Linked DNA regions of Astyanax mexicanus. Each later gene encodes a partner of the first gene's protein in a complex. Links are inferred from orthologs where the notes say so. Each region holds a gene or a part of one and is shown on either strand. Other genes may lie near its edges.

The links. The genes of interacting proteins can lie anywhere in the genome.
Region 2: the proteins of ntsr1 (region 1) and nts are in contact, whole or in part, in a crystal structure (PDB 4BUO), measured with the Rattus norvegicus proteins. The link is inferred for Astyanax mexicanus from reciprocal best matches to the Homo sapiens genes NTSR1 and NTS. Residues at the interface, in NP_001102437.1 of Rattus norvegicus: Ser53, Asp54, Leu55, Asp56, Asn58, Phe128, His132, His133, Tyr146, Met208, Val224, Cys225, Thr226, Pro227, Ile238, Arg327, Arg328, Phe331, Cys332, Tyr333, Ile334, Ser335, Asp336, Trp339, Phe344, Tyr347, His348, Tyr351; in NP_001095851.1 of Rattus norvegicus: Arg157, Arg158, Pro159, Tyr160, Ile161, Leu162.

The regions. Positions count from the first base shown.
Region 1 is NC_064420.1:31,972,686-31,979,557, reverse strand, and holds the start of ntsr1 (neurotensin receptor type 1), read right to left. Parts: upstream 3,008-6,872; 5' UTR 2,751-3,007; coding exon 2,082-2,750; intron 1-2,081. UniProt on the Homo sapiens protein: G-protein coupled receptor for the tridecapeptide neurotensin (NTS). Signaling is effected via G proteins that activate a phosphatidylinositol-calcium second messenger system.
Region 2 is NC_064416.1:21,497,795-21,505,530, reverse strand, and holds the start of nts (neurotensin/neuromedin N), read right to left. Parts: upstream 3,019-7,736; 5' UTR 2,721-3,018; coding exon 2,651-2,720; intron 1,649-2,650; coding exon 1,587-1,648; intron 1-1,586. Other genes in the region: rassf9 (ras association domain-containing protein 9), read left to right, coding at 7,287-7,333. UniProt on the Homo sapiens protein: Neurotensin may play an endocrine or paracrine role in the regulation of fat metabolism. It causes contraction of smooth muscle.

The DNA.
Region 1 (6,872 bases):
CTGCCCCATTGGCTCTCGGCTCCATCAATTTGTATATTGGACTTCTCCACACTGATCTACTTTCCATCTTGTGTGCTGTCACCTCCCCAAGCCATCTTCATCAATATTGCCTTCGAAAATGTTCTGGGAACTGTCTGTGCTTTAGGGTTCTAGACTGTGGCCAGTTCCAAATCCCACACTAATATGGTTTAAACCAGGGGCATCAGTCAATAATTACAAATGCCTGGTGTGGCTGCAGGTTTTCATGATAAACTATCTGCAGCACACCACATTTTTCGTTTGCTAAAAACAGCAAAAGTAGTACCCTGATGTGATAATTAGGGGTGGTGATATTGCATGACATTTAAGGTTATAATATCGTTCACGATATTCAAAAATGTTGGCAATATTATTGTGTACAAAACAATATGGCACACCCCTTGTATGAACAATAAAAAACAAATAATTTAATCACACCAATCAGAGCTTCTGAAAGATTTTTTCATTTGTGCAAATGAGGCAGGCAAATACATATAAATATATAAAACTTTAACCCTATTAAGCTTATAAAACTTGACTTTTGGTCAGTAGAAATGTGTGCAACTCACTGTCTGTATGAGTAAAGATAGTTGGGCTAAATTAAAGTCATGAGGATAAGGTTAAAAACAATAACGAGCAAATACAGAGAAAGAAATAATTATTTGTATTAAACAATACTGGGCTTTGTTGGTATGTCCACAAAACTGCGATATTAAAATATTCAGCTCAATGCTTTCACTCAATACTTAACTTTATTGTCCTTTTGAAATGGCTTTTTCTTTGAAGAGCAAAACAAAAAGTGTTAAAAAAAGTGGCAAAAAACAATAAAAAACATGAAATTTCAGCTTTCTGCCTTAATTCAGACAAATATTTCGTTTTGTTTAACCCTTTCAGACACACATGTTTTCTATGTTTTGTGTATTCTTTCACTTCACACAAATTCAGACCTATTAGTCATCAGAATAGAAATTTATTAGCCAGTCAAACAGCAGTGTAGCCCCGCCTACTGCGTTGAAAAAAAAATTGATTGAAAAATCACGTCTTACTTGTATACTGCATTCTATTGTGTGGAGCCTCTTATAAAAAAAAAATAAGAGACCGCTTCAAAATTATAAGTTTCTTTGATCTTACCAAATTGAAAACCTCTGGAATATAATCAAGAGGATGAAAGGTGGATGATCACAAGACGTCAAACCAAGCTGAACTGCTTGGACTTTTGCACCAGGAGTGGCATAAAGTTATCCAAAATCAGTATACAAGGCTGGTGGAGGAGAACATGAGAACATGCCAAGATGCATGAAAACTGCGATTAAAAACCAGGGTTATTCCACCAAATATTTTATTTTCTGAACTCTTAAAACTTTATGAACATGAACGTGTTTTCTTTGCATTGTTTGAGGTGAAAAGCTCTGCATCTTAATTTTTAATTTTTTCATTTCTCATTTTCTACAAAAAAAATGCTCTAAATGACAATATTTTTATTTGGAATTTGGGAGAAATGTTGTCCGTAGTTTATAGAATAAAACAACAATGTTCATTTTACTCAAACACATACCTATAGCAAAATCAGAGAAACTGATTCAGAAACTGAAATGGTCTCTTAATTTTTTCCAGAGCTGTATAATCCTCTTAAACTCCGGGATGTTTGTTCTTTAGACTTCAGAACTATAAAACCAAGAGGTGTCACACACAGATAAAACATGTTCATTTATTTACTCTAACATATACCTCTGAATAACAAAATCAGACCATCTGATTCAGAAACTCTTAATCAGTGTCTTAATTTTTTTTCCAGAACTGTATTGACTTTTAGTAAAAAAAAAAAAAAAAAAAAAAAAATAGAAAATTAGTCGATAAGTCGGTTTGGGCCAAAAAAATATATATATTTTTATCTCCTGTGTGAGCTGATCAAGTTTTTTTTTTTTTAAGTTTATAAAAATTATAAAAAAAACGCATTGCCACATTAATACTACTTCTAATAATGATGCTACACATAATATAACGCATCTCTCCAAATGTAAAATCCAGTAAAGATAAAAATCCGGTAAAATCCCGCCCCTCACCTGTAACACGGTCTTGGCGGTGCCGGTGGACACGATGGTGGTGCAGATGGGCACCGCGTCCACGGTGCGCTGGCCCATGGTGAAGAGCATGGGGGTGGCCAGCAGGAAGGCGGCGGCCCACATGCCGCTGATCAGCTTCTTGGTGCGGCTGCGGGACATGGCGCTCTTCGCTTTGAACGGGTGGCAGATGGCCATGTAGCGCTCGGCGCTCAGGCTGGCGATGTTGAAGGCGGTGGCGTAGGAGCAGCCGTCGCGCAGGAAGTAGTAGCCCCGGCACACGGCGTCCCCGAACGCCCACGGGTGGTGCACCCAGATGAAGTTGTAGAGCTCGAGCGGCATGCTGAGCACCAGGATCAGCAGGTCGGACACGGCCAGGCTGGCCAGGTGGTAGTGCACGGTGCTCTGCAGGTTCTGCAGGGACTTCTTGGTGAGCAGCGTGTACAGCGTGATGGAATTGCCCAGGCAGCCCACGGCGAACAGCAGCACGTAGATGACGGTCACCAGAACCTTGGAGTAGACGTCCGTGTTCACGTCCAGGTCCTCCTGCGACGCGGTGCCGGAGCCAGAGCCGTTGGCGTGGAACGGCGCGGAGTGGTTGATTATAAGTTGCTGCGTTAAAGCGCGCAACTTGGAAAAGTTCCGCACTGTTAAAGTGCCGTTCGCGTCCATCCTCGCGCTCAACAGTTTATTTTTAGAAGTCTAAACGTCTTTAAACGTCTCTAAACTAAACTCTCTAAACTATAAAATACAATAAACCCAGGACGCATCTGGTGCGCATTTGCTTGGTTGGGTTATATGATCATAATGGGTACAAAAAAAGAAAAGAAAAAGAATTAAGAATAAAAGAAAGAAAATAAACAAGCAAAGAAATAAAAAAAATGATGCAGATGATGGAGAAGACCACTCTGAACTGTCGGCTCACAAGAGAAGACCCTTCGGGTTGGGGAAGCTGGCGCGCGCGCTTTTATATCGCTGGAGAGTGATGGAGTAGGAGGGGGAGAAGGAGGAGGAGGAGGCGCGCGCTGAATCGAAAACCTTGAGAAATGACGCAGCGCCATTCTCAATGACTATAGTGCACGCGCCCCTTCTCGCTCTCTCTCTCGCTCCCTTTTTAATATCTATATATACACACACACAATACCGATCTCTTCTCACTCAATGTGTTTTTTCTTTCTTTTATTTATTTATTTTTTTAAACATTGCAATTTTAAGGTACTAAAAACACAAGGAAGGAGTTTCTGGAGGTGCTGAACAATAGTTGCTGCCTTAATGGTGTCCCTTAATTGTTTTCATGTCTTTAATATGAATGCACAATGTAGAAAATAAATGAAATAAACCTTGAAAACCTTAATGTGTGTGTATACACAGCTGTGGAAAAATAGTAAGAGATCACTTCAATGTCTTAATCATAATGTTTTTCTCTGATTTTGCTATTTATAGGCATATGTTTAAAATAAATTAACACTGTTGTTTTATTCTATAAACTACAGACTACATTTCTCCCAAATTCCAAATAAAAGTATTGCCATTTAGAGCTTTTATTTGCAGAAAATGAGAAATGTCTGAAATAACGAAAAAGATGCAGAACTTTTAGACATCAAATAATGCAAAGAAGATAAGTTCATATTAATAAAGTTTTAAGAGTTCAAGTTTTAAGAGCTTTTATGCATCTTGGCATGTTCTCCTCCACCGTCTTACACACTGATTTTGAATAACTTTATGCCACTCCTGGTGCAAAAATTCAAGCAGTTCAGTTTGGTTTAATGGCTTGGGATCATCTTCCTCTTGATTATATTCCAGAGGTTTTCCATTTGGTAAAATCAAAGAAACTAAAATTTTAAGAGAAATGTTGGCCGTTATGAGTTTCTGGAGGTGCTGAACAGTAGTTACTTGAAGCTGTGAAGCTCCAGCTCATCCCAAATCACCATTTCAGTTGACCAGGTTTAGATCAGGGGATTGTGGACACTTTTTTACTGTTTGCTACACAATTCCACATGTGTCCTTTAAATATTTTTTTATATGTCTTTTAATAGGCTACATATACAACGTAGAAAACATTTTTATCCACAGCTCTTTACTAAAACTCTGGACCTTCAGCAAAGTCTGGAACTGAAAATAGACAACAGGAGAGCCAGTGGCTCTTCTCAAACACAGCTATTAGTTGACCTTTACTGTTAGCTTTTAGCTGTGGGCAGTAATATATCTTCAGGATTGCTAGGCTAGATCCAGCCCAAAGTGAGCTTGGGACCGACAGTATATAGCTTTATAGAGAAAAAGATAATAAAAAGAAGAGAAAAAATAATCACTATAATTTTCTGTATGAGATTTCAGAATAAAAACAGAAAAAAATACTGTAAAATTACATGATTAAATGATGAGAAAACACTGTTTAATGCAATGCTACATGAGGTTATGCACAAAAAACATGTGAATTGTATATTTTATATTGCCAGATTTAGCAGGTAATTCTAAACTAACTGCAACGTTTTCTGTAATTTTAGACACAAACATGTTATGTGGATATATTTTTGTCAAATACTGTTTATAACTTAGAATACAAGAATATGAATGTAAAAATAATAAAAATAAATAAATAAAAATTCAGGCTGCAGAGGTGTCAGAAAAATACAGGTACTGTACATGTGGATATTTGTGTGGATGTTTTAAACGTAAATGCAATCTTTAACGTTAGACAAAGATCCTTCTTTTTTGAAATACATTACATACAAGTTATATGGTGCTCCCTAACACTCAATTACTTGTACTGTGCTCAAAACACTGTTCCTTAAGCACAATTTTTCTCTCTCTTTTTTATTTTTTATGTTTAAAACAATGAATATTGTGGTGAGGTCATGCAAAAAAAACATTTTCTTCTAGTAACTTTTTCATAGAGGTCAACTTTCATAGAGATGTTACTTCACAGTAGAATAGTGCTCCCCCACTCCACCATTTGTCTTGACAAATCTTCCTAAAGGTCATTTGTTGTCAAAAAGAGGGTTTGATTTTCCTTTGCTTACTAGCAATTCTGCCGGTAGTACTCTTTTCTTGGTCCTCTAGACCTCAAACTGACCTGTAATGTTCCTGTTAACTGAACTGAGGAAACAGACACCAGAATACGCTTTGCTATCTTTCATATCCTTCCTCTGCTTTGAAGGCATCAGGCAAGGGTTAGGATCAAATTTCACGGTCTTAGAGGTCTTAGAAGTATTCAAAATGTTTTTAAATCTGCATCACCTGACCTTTAAAAAGATACGCCTGTGCAAGCCCTAGTATTAATAGGCGAATTAAGTCTAATCCTAGGTTTTTGGTAACATAATTGGTTATATTTCAACCCTTTTTGAACCTTTTTTGGAATATTGTGCAATAAAATAACATGCAACTATGGTTAAAACATTGAAAAAGTTATTATTTTTAACTTCAATGTCTTTTGGAGATCAGATCAAAATTTCTTCAACCAAATATTCATGATAACCGAATTTTTGATCAGGTGTCAACAAATTCTAATATTGCTCTACTTTAATACTCTTTAATACTCTAACATTTGCAAATCTTCAACATGCACCGTATCAACATAAAGTGTAGCTAGAATTACTAAAATCACATTGAGGTGTGACTGAAATACTGACCATCTTTTTGTTAAAGAATGTGGAAAAACACTTAATTTAGAACATTTTTTATTTTTTATTTTTTTTAAATGCTGAATTGAATTTACAATTGTGTCCAGAACTTTACTCAGCACTATAGTGACACTGGCATGGTAGTGGTGTGTTAGTAGTGTTGAGACACAGCAGTGCTGCTGGAGTTTTTAAACTCCTCAGTGCCACTACTAGACTGGAAAAAAAAAACACCACCCAGAAATGTGATCAATGGTGAAGGACTAAAGGATAAAATAGACAACTGCCACCATAAGAGATGAGGTAAAATTTAACATTTAACTGAGAAATCCAATTCTAAACATTTTCTACTTACTATTTTAAGCAAACCGTGACTTTATGCTTGTTGAATAATTTACTTTTGTGATGGTCTGGCAGAAAAAAAAAATATAGGAGAAAGCTTTGGGTCAGATGCAAGATGGTGGTGTTTAGTGATGGGTCTGACGACCCTGAAACCTCGACACATGCGCCGAGCTGTCAAGGCGAAACCCCGTGTCGGTGCGCGTATCAAGTTAAGGAAAACCACGTGACCGATACACTTCCTGTATCGTTTGGTAGCGATGGGTCTGACGACACTGAAACTTCAGCGCATGCACCGAGCAAACAAGGCGAACCCCTGTGTCAGACAGCGTATCATTTTAAGGAAAACCACGTGACCGATGCATTTCTTCGCGCAGTTGCTTGCAATGACTTTCTTAGTCCAGCAGATGTCGCCATTAAGTGATACAGCAACACAGTTTCAACACAGTGTCGATACAGTTTGGGAAATGTGCCATACACCCAATGAGGCTTCATCTGCCCATCACTAGTGGTGTTTATCAAATAAATAAATAAATAAATAAATAAATAATCAAATTAAATATATAAGCCATTTTCCACTTATAAATATATTTACATTTACTTACTGTTTGCAAGTTGCTAAACAATTCCAATTCCATAAGCTCAAACAGCTCTAAAACAAAACCTAACCAAACGGCTTGCACAGCCTTAAATAGCACCAAACAGGAAGTGTTGTGATGTCACCTCCTGCCATTTTGGAGGGAAACCAGTCAATAAAAGTCCCCTCAAACAAACATATTAGTTTCCCCACTGAAGAATGACATGGATGGCCCTTCTTACAACAAGCCACCACAGTTGG
Region 2 (7,736 bases), on another chromosome or scaffold:
TCCTACAACTTCCTCTTCTATCCAATTAGCTTGGTTTAAAAAAGCAGTGAGTACAGAACTCCACTCAGCATTAGGACTGAGAGAGGGGGAATTTGTTCAGCATGACAGATTGCTTTGTTTCCTGTTGAAGGATGAGGCACGGGGAAAAAAACTCTCATTGGTGTAACTGCATTTACCACACTCCCTGAGCCCTTTTATACACTAGAGGGCTGGTTGACTTAAGACTAAATGAGAGCATAATTAATTTAATATCTCTTTTTAACTTTTAAGATGAAAAACAACAGTAAATTTGATGATGTGGTGTTACATGCTATTGTACTTTTTTCACAGCAGTTACATAAACTAAGACAAGCCCTGTTAAGCATCATATTATTACATATTATAAGTGCATTAACTGCATTTATCACACTCCCCATACTTTTTTTATACACTGGACTGAAAAAAACGTGTAAAATATGTAATAAAAAAAAATTGGGTCCAGTATCTACAGTCTTTGACCTACTTGCATTTAATATCCAATATGTCTAAAACATAACCCCAGCTCTATTAAGCTTCATATTATTATTACCCATGTCCTGAACAACCTTCACCTGCATTTCTAAACTGCTATTGTAAAGCGATGCTCAATGATCCTGCATCAGGCAGCTGTGTCTGCTCATCACAGCTAAAACATGTCATCTTGCTCACCAATGGATCCTGACGCACTGCTTTTCATTTCAGTGTGATTGCACTTCACTTGGCTTAAGTACCATAGATTGCACATTGTGTGACAGAAATTATTGATCTGAATCTGAAGGTGTCATGATATAGAGTCTAGCAATTTATTAACCTGTGGTAAATCATCATTAAGACATCTAAAGTGAAGATATCGGGTGACCTGTAAAATTGGTCAGAGAAGAGTCATTTGATAATATGACAATCCCTATTAGACTTTGCAACTGATTTTGCATGATATGATATTGGCTTATTTCTTTCTGACCATAGTAGGGATGGAATGGGAATATATTCCCATATATTCCCAGTTGAGGTCTCTTAAAAGCAGAAAGTTATGTGCTATTGCAGTCCTTCAGCTAATAATTAGATGAAAAACGTTCAAAATATTAGTGACACTTTTGAAACTCTAATATATAGTTAAGCAATAGCTAAAAATAATAAAAGGGAAAAATAGATCAGGAAACTGATATTTAGAACATCTCTGAAAATTTCATATGAATAAGAACCTCCTCTTTGGAAATATTTTCTAATTAATGTTCACTAATTCATTGCATTTCTGAAATCTAGAAGCTTTTCCCATCGATTGGTTCGAACATAGATCTATGGAAGTCATGAGGGCCTACAGTAGTAAGGTCAGTATCCTGTGTGTTCTTCTGTCAAAGGGCAGTTCAATCGATGTGAAACTCCCTGCTGATGCAGAAGCCAGCTTTAAACTCCCCCTCACTGTTAACATCTGTCTTGCCCATAAACCCTGTGTACTTCTGAGACCATTCTTTTTTATCTCACACCCTTGAACCTCTGCATATCTTTAATGTCCACCAGTCAGAACTGGTGAGCCTCAACAAACAGGTGTGAAGAAACTATCACTTTACCTCTGAGGTGTAGAGACTGCTCAGCATCTCCTCCTCCATGGCATCCTTTGCTTCATCAACATCTGTTGGATTAAAGAACAACAGCCATAAATGTTATTTGTAGGCATATATATGCCTATATAATAGAAACACTATATATATATTATATATAACTATGTAACAAACATTACGAGCTTAGGTGAACCTGGTTAATGATGAAGATGACCTGTGCAAATCCTATGTATCCTAACTCCCTCGGCGGATCTGCACTTTAAACTAAGGAGCTCTGATTCCAGCTTGCCTGGACGTGCTCGATGAGCAGACGTGAGCATTTTTAATTTATTTTTTTGCTGTGAAGGTGCAGATGATCTGCACCATATTTCTTAGATTTATTTATTAGGAGCCATAAGTTTGCAGGAGCTGTAAACTTGAACTCACATTTCATGAGAACACAATAAATGCTATCCTAATTATTAGAGTAAATCACTTTCCCCTCTTATTCACTCTTCCTCTGAAGTTCATAAATGATGACAAAATATGCTTCTAACATAATTAATCAATTTCTAAAGGAAGAGTATGTACACCATAGAATGTAACCATGTTGTGCCTGTCCAAAGAAAATGATTTATTTCTACTTTTTTTTTCAGGATTTAGCTTTATACATCATTTGAACACAGCAGCTGTCCTTCACATTGAGTCAAAATACAATGAATGGATCAATAAAAATGCTTTAAAATGGAACTATAGTTTGGAAATACATGCTTTTCTTTGGACAGTGAGGATATAAAATATTATAACACCTAAACACTGATATTAAATAGAGTTTAAATATGATGTGATATCATCTTGTTTTTTTGTTTTTAATACTCGGTGTACCTTTTTAAAGCAATAAATTCATAACATTGTTGTAATTAAGTCCTGTCCCATGCACTGCATTCCTAAAAGAGTTTTCCTTTGCACAACTTTAAGAGTTGAGGTGAAGATCTCAGATTGCAAGTGTTTTATATAATAATTATCTGACAGGGTAAATTAGGTGTGAAAGAAAGCTCAGGACTGCCTGTGCAGTGACTGACTGACGGGCTTACCTGAGCTGAATCCGCTGCAGATCAAACAGAGGAGCACCACACTGGTTAACTGCATCTTGGTCACCTGCATCTTGCTAACAATCCTGCAGACCTTACAAGTTTAGGCTAGGCCCGAGTCCATAAGGCTAAAGGTCAAGAAGGGAGAGAAAGAGTGGAGAGAGTGAAGTAGGATGATGGAGACAGAGAAAGAGTGAGGGAAAGAGAAAGAGAGATGGAGATGGGAGTTGGGAGAGAAAGTGGTCCCTGGTCTTGGTTTCTTATCCAGCCTGTCGCTCTGCGTTCTCTCGGCTTGTTCTGAGGACTGATGGGCTCCATTCCCCCAGTATATAAGCACTGGAGTGATGTCACAGGGGCTGCTTCATTACACCTCCCCCCACCCCTCTCTAGCTCACCCCATCCTCCCCGTCTATTCCATTCTCCATCAGCTCCCCATCGTGTGACGCCATCAGATGACACCACTTTGGCCACTTTGGCGACTGACGTCAAAACTTGCATACCCGCTCATCTGACCTGCGCATTTCTCCTTTTTTGGGGGTGAAACGCTCAAGCGGAGATATGAGTTGACAATTAAGGAAAAATGACGGAGGGAAGAAAGTAAGGTACCAAATTATTTGCATCAGTTTTGTTTGAAGGTGGTAAACAGGGGACATGAATATTTTACATGCATAAAAGATAATATAATGCTTTCAGGCATAAGATAGACCATAACTGGCTTGGAATATATATCTGCTGTTGCATCTCCAATCACAAGTGTTTGTTAAGATCTTTTTTTCTTCAAGAAGTTATCACTAGCATTTAAAAGCAAATTGTACTTTTTTTGCTTGTTATTTTTGTATTATTTATATCTCATTTCTTATTCATATCTCACTAAAACAAGCAGACCAGTTCTAAACTTTTAATCAGTAAACCTTTTTATTTTTGCCAAGGGCTTGTCTGTACTTGACATCCAAACAAATAAATAAATTAAAATAAAATGCCAATCAAGAGTAAATGTGTTTTGTTATGTACCCAACAATGTATTTATATTTAAAATAATTTAATACCACTTCATAATAGCGGAAAACAACACATAACTATTAAAGGTTGATTATCCTTTATGCTTTCTGGATCTTGCACATTTATCTTGCACACTTCTAGTACCGGTATTCCCTTGTGTTTTGTCTAATTGCAAGACTATGTTCAAACTGCAGGCAAATCAATTTTGTTTCTCATTGTTTCTCAGATCACATATGTTGAGATGCTGTCTGCACTGTTTATTTGCAAATAATCAGATTGGATGTGGCTATCGGCATGAGTTGCTTTGGTAGCTAGATTAGCGTCATTAACAAACCTTTGAAGCTCTTATTCCATTTGCATCACTATAGATGTGTAGGTCATTGTTTATCGCAGTGGGAGTGATGCAAAAGACACATTGAAATCTGATTTGAGCATCCAGAGCATACGATTGTCATTGCAGTTTAAATCCCTCCAAATATGGTTTGGATCTGATTACAAAAATCTGATCAAAAGTCAATTTAGAAACAATGTAGATTTGCCAAATTTGGACAGCAGTCTAAACAAAACCAAAAACAGCTATCTTTACTACAGTGCATTCATTGTAACTTAAGTCTGGGTTTCCCTCCTGTAGCCTAATTACTGAAGAACATATGCACAGCTAAAACTCCCGTGTGTAATTACTGCCTTGTGTTAAATGAAGTAGAAAAACAGCTCTGAATAAAACAGTTTAGAAATAAAAAAAACCCACAGCATTAAATGAACACCTGTAGGAGTGTAGGATGATCACCTACAAGAGTTCAATGAGGTGCCATTAACATCTACTATTGGGTCATTTTGGGTCATTCTGGTTTTTACACTACTGGTAGTTTTGGTGTAGGTTTTCTGTAGCCCAGCCACCAGATAACAGGTTACATTACAGAAATCCTTTGTTTCATTTGAAACACCTTCACAGTTGAAGCTGTATTTGACAGAAAATGTTGCAAAGATCTGTAAACACATTTCCAAAAAGTATACATCTTACGAGTAGCTATGAAGTAAATCTAATCAAGATGTGTGGATTATTTCAGATAAAAACTTTATTTTAAACTAAGCTGTCTGTGTGACTGATAGGATTAGCTAATGTTCGCTTAGAAGTTATCATATTGTTTGGAAGTTGTGATACTGAAGTATCACTTGAAATTGTAGCACTTATCTAAATTGTTGATTTGTAGTTCAGAATTCATTTGTTTAGAGAATTAACATAAACAGTGGTATTATTGTATTGTTGTTGATTAATATTAGACTGCCAGCTGATACTTAGATAACCTGGCTGTATAACCAAAAACATTAGAAAAGGTTAAGTTTTATATCACTTAATTTATTCCCCATTATTTTTGTATAGTATTATTTAAGGTACAGGTGTTGTTTCTGGTAAGAAAGAAGTAAAATATATGTTGTTTAATGTCTGTAAAAGTGTTTTTAATTCCTTTTTCATCTTCCCTTTTCACAGGGTGGAACAAACATGCCTGATACCGAGAAGAAGACATTTTACATTTTAAGAAATATTCAATTTTGATTAGCACACTGTTCAGTTTTAATGGAGCTGTGCTTCTGTTAGACATGCTCACTGATAAATACTTAATTTTATTAAGAAAAAGACAATACATTTATAAATGACAAACAACCCAACAAAAACTACAGAGTTAAAGTGGGTAAACTCAGTTTTTAGGGTTATTAATATGGTAGGTCAATTTAACTCTCTTTGTTCTGCTATATCAACTGACCACTGGGTTGTATACCAGATTGGATCATTAACACCCACTGCCCTGTCCACAGTTGGGGGTAATGCCCACCATGATGTATTCCTGGTACACACACTGTGAACTCTGTGGATGGAGGAGTGATAAACGCCCGTGCAACTTCACAGATGTTATGTCTCAACCATCTGGCACCCACTATTAGGCCTCACTCAAACTCAGATAATTCACAATGTTGTGCCATGAGCACACTGCACAGTGTTCAAACTTACTCTCAAGATTTTCAGGCACCCTGCTGCTAGAAAATTATCTTTTTTTAAGACATTTTCTGGTGCTCTTGCTGAGGGAAAATAACCTTTTTACATATGTTTTTTAATTATGTGGCAGATGGGTATATAGAAAAGGCATTGCAGTTAAACAAACATTCACTACATGCATTAATCAGATAGAAGTATAGATACTAGGGTTTAAAATACTTCTGTTCTCAAGCTTCTTTAGTCAAGTAGAAGTGTAAAAGTACAGGTTTCAAAACTACTTAAAGTATAAAAGTAAAAGTAATGTAATGAGGAAAAAATGCCATTAGGGACAAAAGCTTTCACTGCAAATTGTACTAAACTTAGTTGGGACATTTCACTCAAGTTCTCTGAAGTATCTACATGCATCATCTTCATACTAGACTACATACGTCTGCTTTGTTCTTGCTGGATTGTGGGCGTGACGTGTGCAGGTGTGATGGATCGTATAAACCAATAGGGTTTTGGAATGGTATATGTTTATACTTCTCATCCAACCACAATAACATTCACTCTATCCGGATGGAGCAATTTATCTGGATATGGTTCTTTGTTTGTGACTGATGAAATTAAATAGAAGTTAAGAGACTATTTTTAAAATGTAAGTAGAAGTAGACTTTCAGGGGTCTGAAAACGAATTACTCCAGTAAAGTATAGATGACCAAAAGTTCTACTTAAGTAAGGTAAAGTATTTCACATGTAGTACTTCATATCTTACTTCATATCTGCATAACAACACTAATTTCGTGTAAAATCACAGAAAAGAAAATAGGATCATTATAAGTTTAAGTAAAAAGTCGTCTGAAAAAGAATTACTTAAGTAAAGTATCGATAACCAAAATTTCTACTCAAGTAAGATATTCACATATTTCACCTATTTCACATATAGTACTTCACAACTTACTTAACAACACTAATTGTGTGTAATTGTGTTAAAATGGCCAGATGGATCACGTGACACTTGATCAACAAGCAGTCAACAAGTATTTTTGTCGTGTTAAGGTGATCTAGAGAAAGTTTTTAACCAGGAAAACACTGTAAAATATGTTTGTGAGCTTATAAACAATATTTTTCCAGTGCAGTAGTAGTTGTGTTACTCTTAAAGGGACTTGACATTGTTTATAACGTGCTTAATATAATATAAGCTAATAATAAGAGATATGTAAATGTATTGAGGGAAAACTTACAGCTTCAGATCAGTAGCTATTCAGTAATTGAGTACATTTAAAATATTTAAACCCTCTCAGACCTGTTTGTGTAGAGCTTTTGAGCTAATGGGAAATATTAGGGAGGCTATATTATCTGTTGATTGTGTTGTGGTGTTTTTTTCTCTGTGTGAAAGTGTGATAATTACAGCAGGTAAAGGTGCTGGGACTCATCTGTGAGGCACTGCTCTCTGTTTCCAGCCCTCCATTAGGTCACCTCCCTCTGGTGCTCTGGGACGGCCCTCTGCTAACCAGCCTGCCCCGCTTTTTTACTCCTCCACAACTTCTACAAGTTTTCCCACCGCGAGTACCGCCGCTCTCAGAGCCAGACTGAGAACCCAGAGACCTCAGAATGGAGCGGGACTGAGCGCTTCAGCCGCGCGGACTGAGGGTCTGAACCGGAGCAATGGCGCCGTTTGGAAAACACTTTCTGAAGGCTCGTTTGAAAAACAGGTGAAGGAGGATTTTATCTTTTTTAAAGGGTGATTTTCAGCGGCTGGAGGGAATTCAGACGCTCTGTTAAGAGTTTCACAATTTTTACATGGGTCAGCTACAGGAGTAAGAGCTAGACTGAATGAGAATGTGTCTTTTTCTTCTTAATTTAAAACATAAAAGGACTTTTAGTGTAATTTGTAGCCTGTGGGAATGTGTGCCGAGGGGCTGCTGGAGCTGAGAGAATCGTGTAGCTAACACAAAAGAGAAATGCCTTTGCTGTTGTAACCAGAGAAGCTGCATACAGTACAGTGTTGTTCAACTGTATGGCGCCCAGGCTCGAGTTACCAAGGTGCTGTTGTTCAGCTCACATGGATGCAGGTGCCTGGTGTGTGTGTGGTTGTGTGTGTGTGTGTGTGTGTGG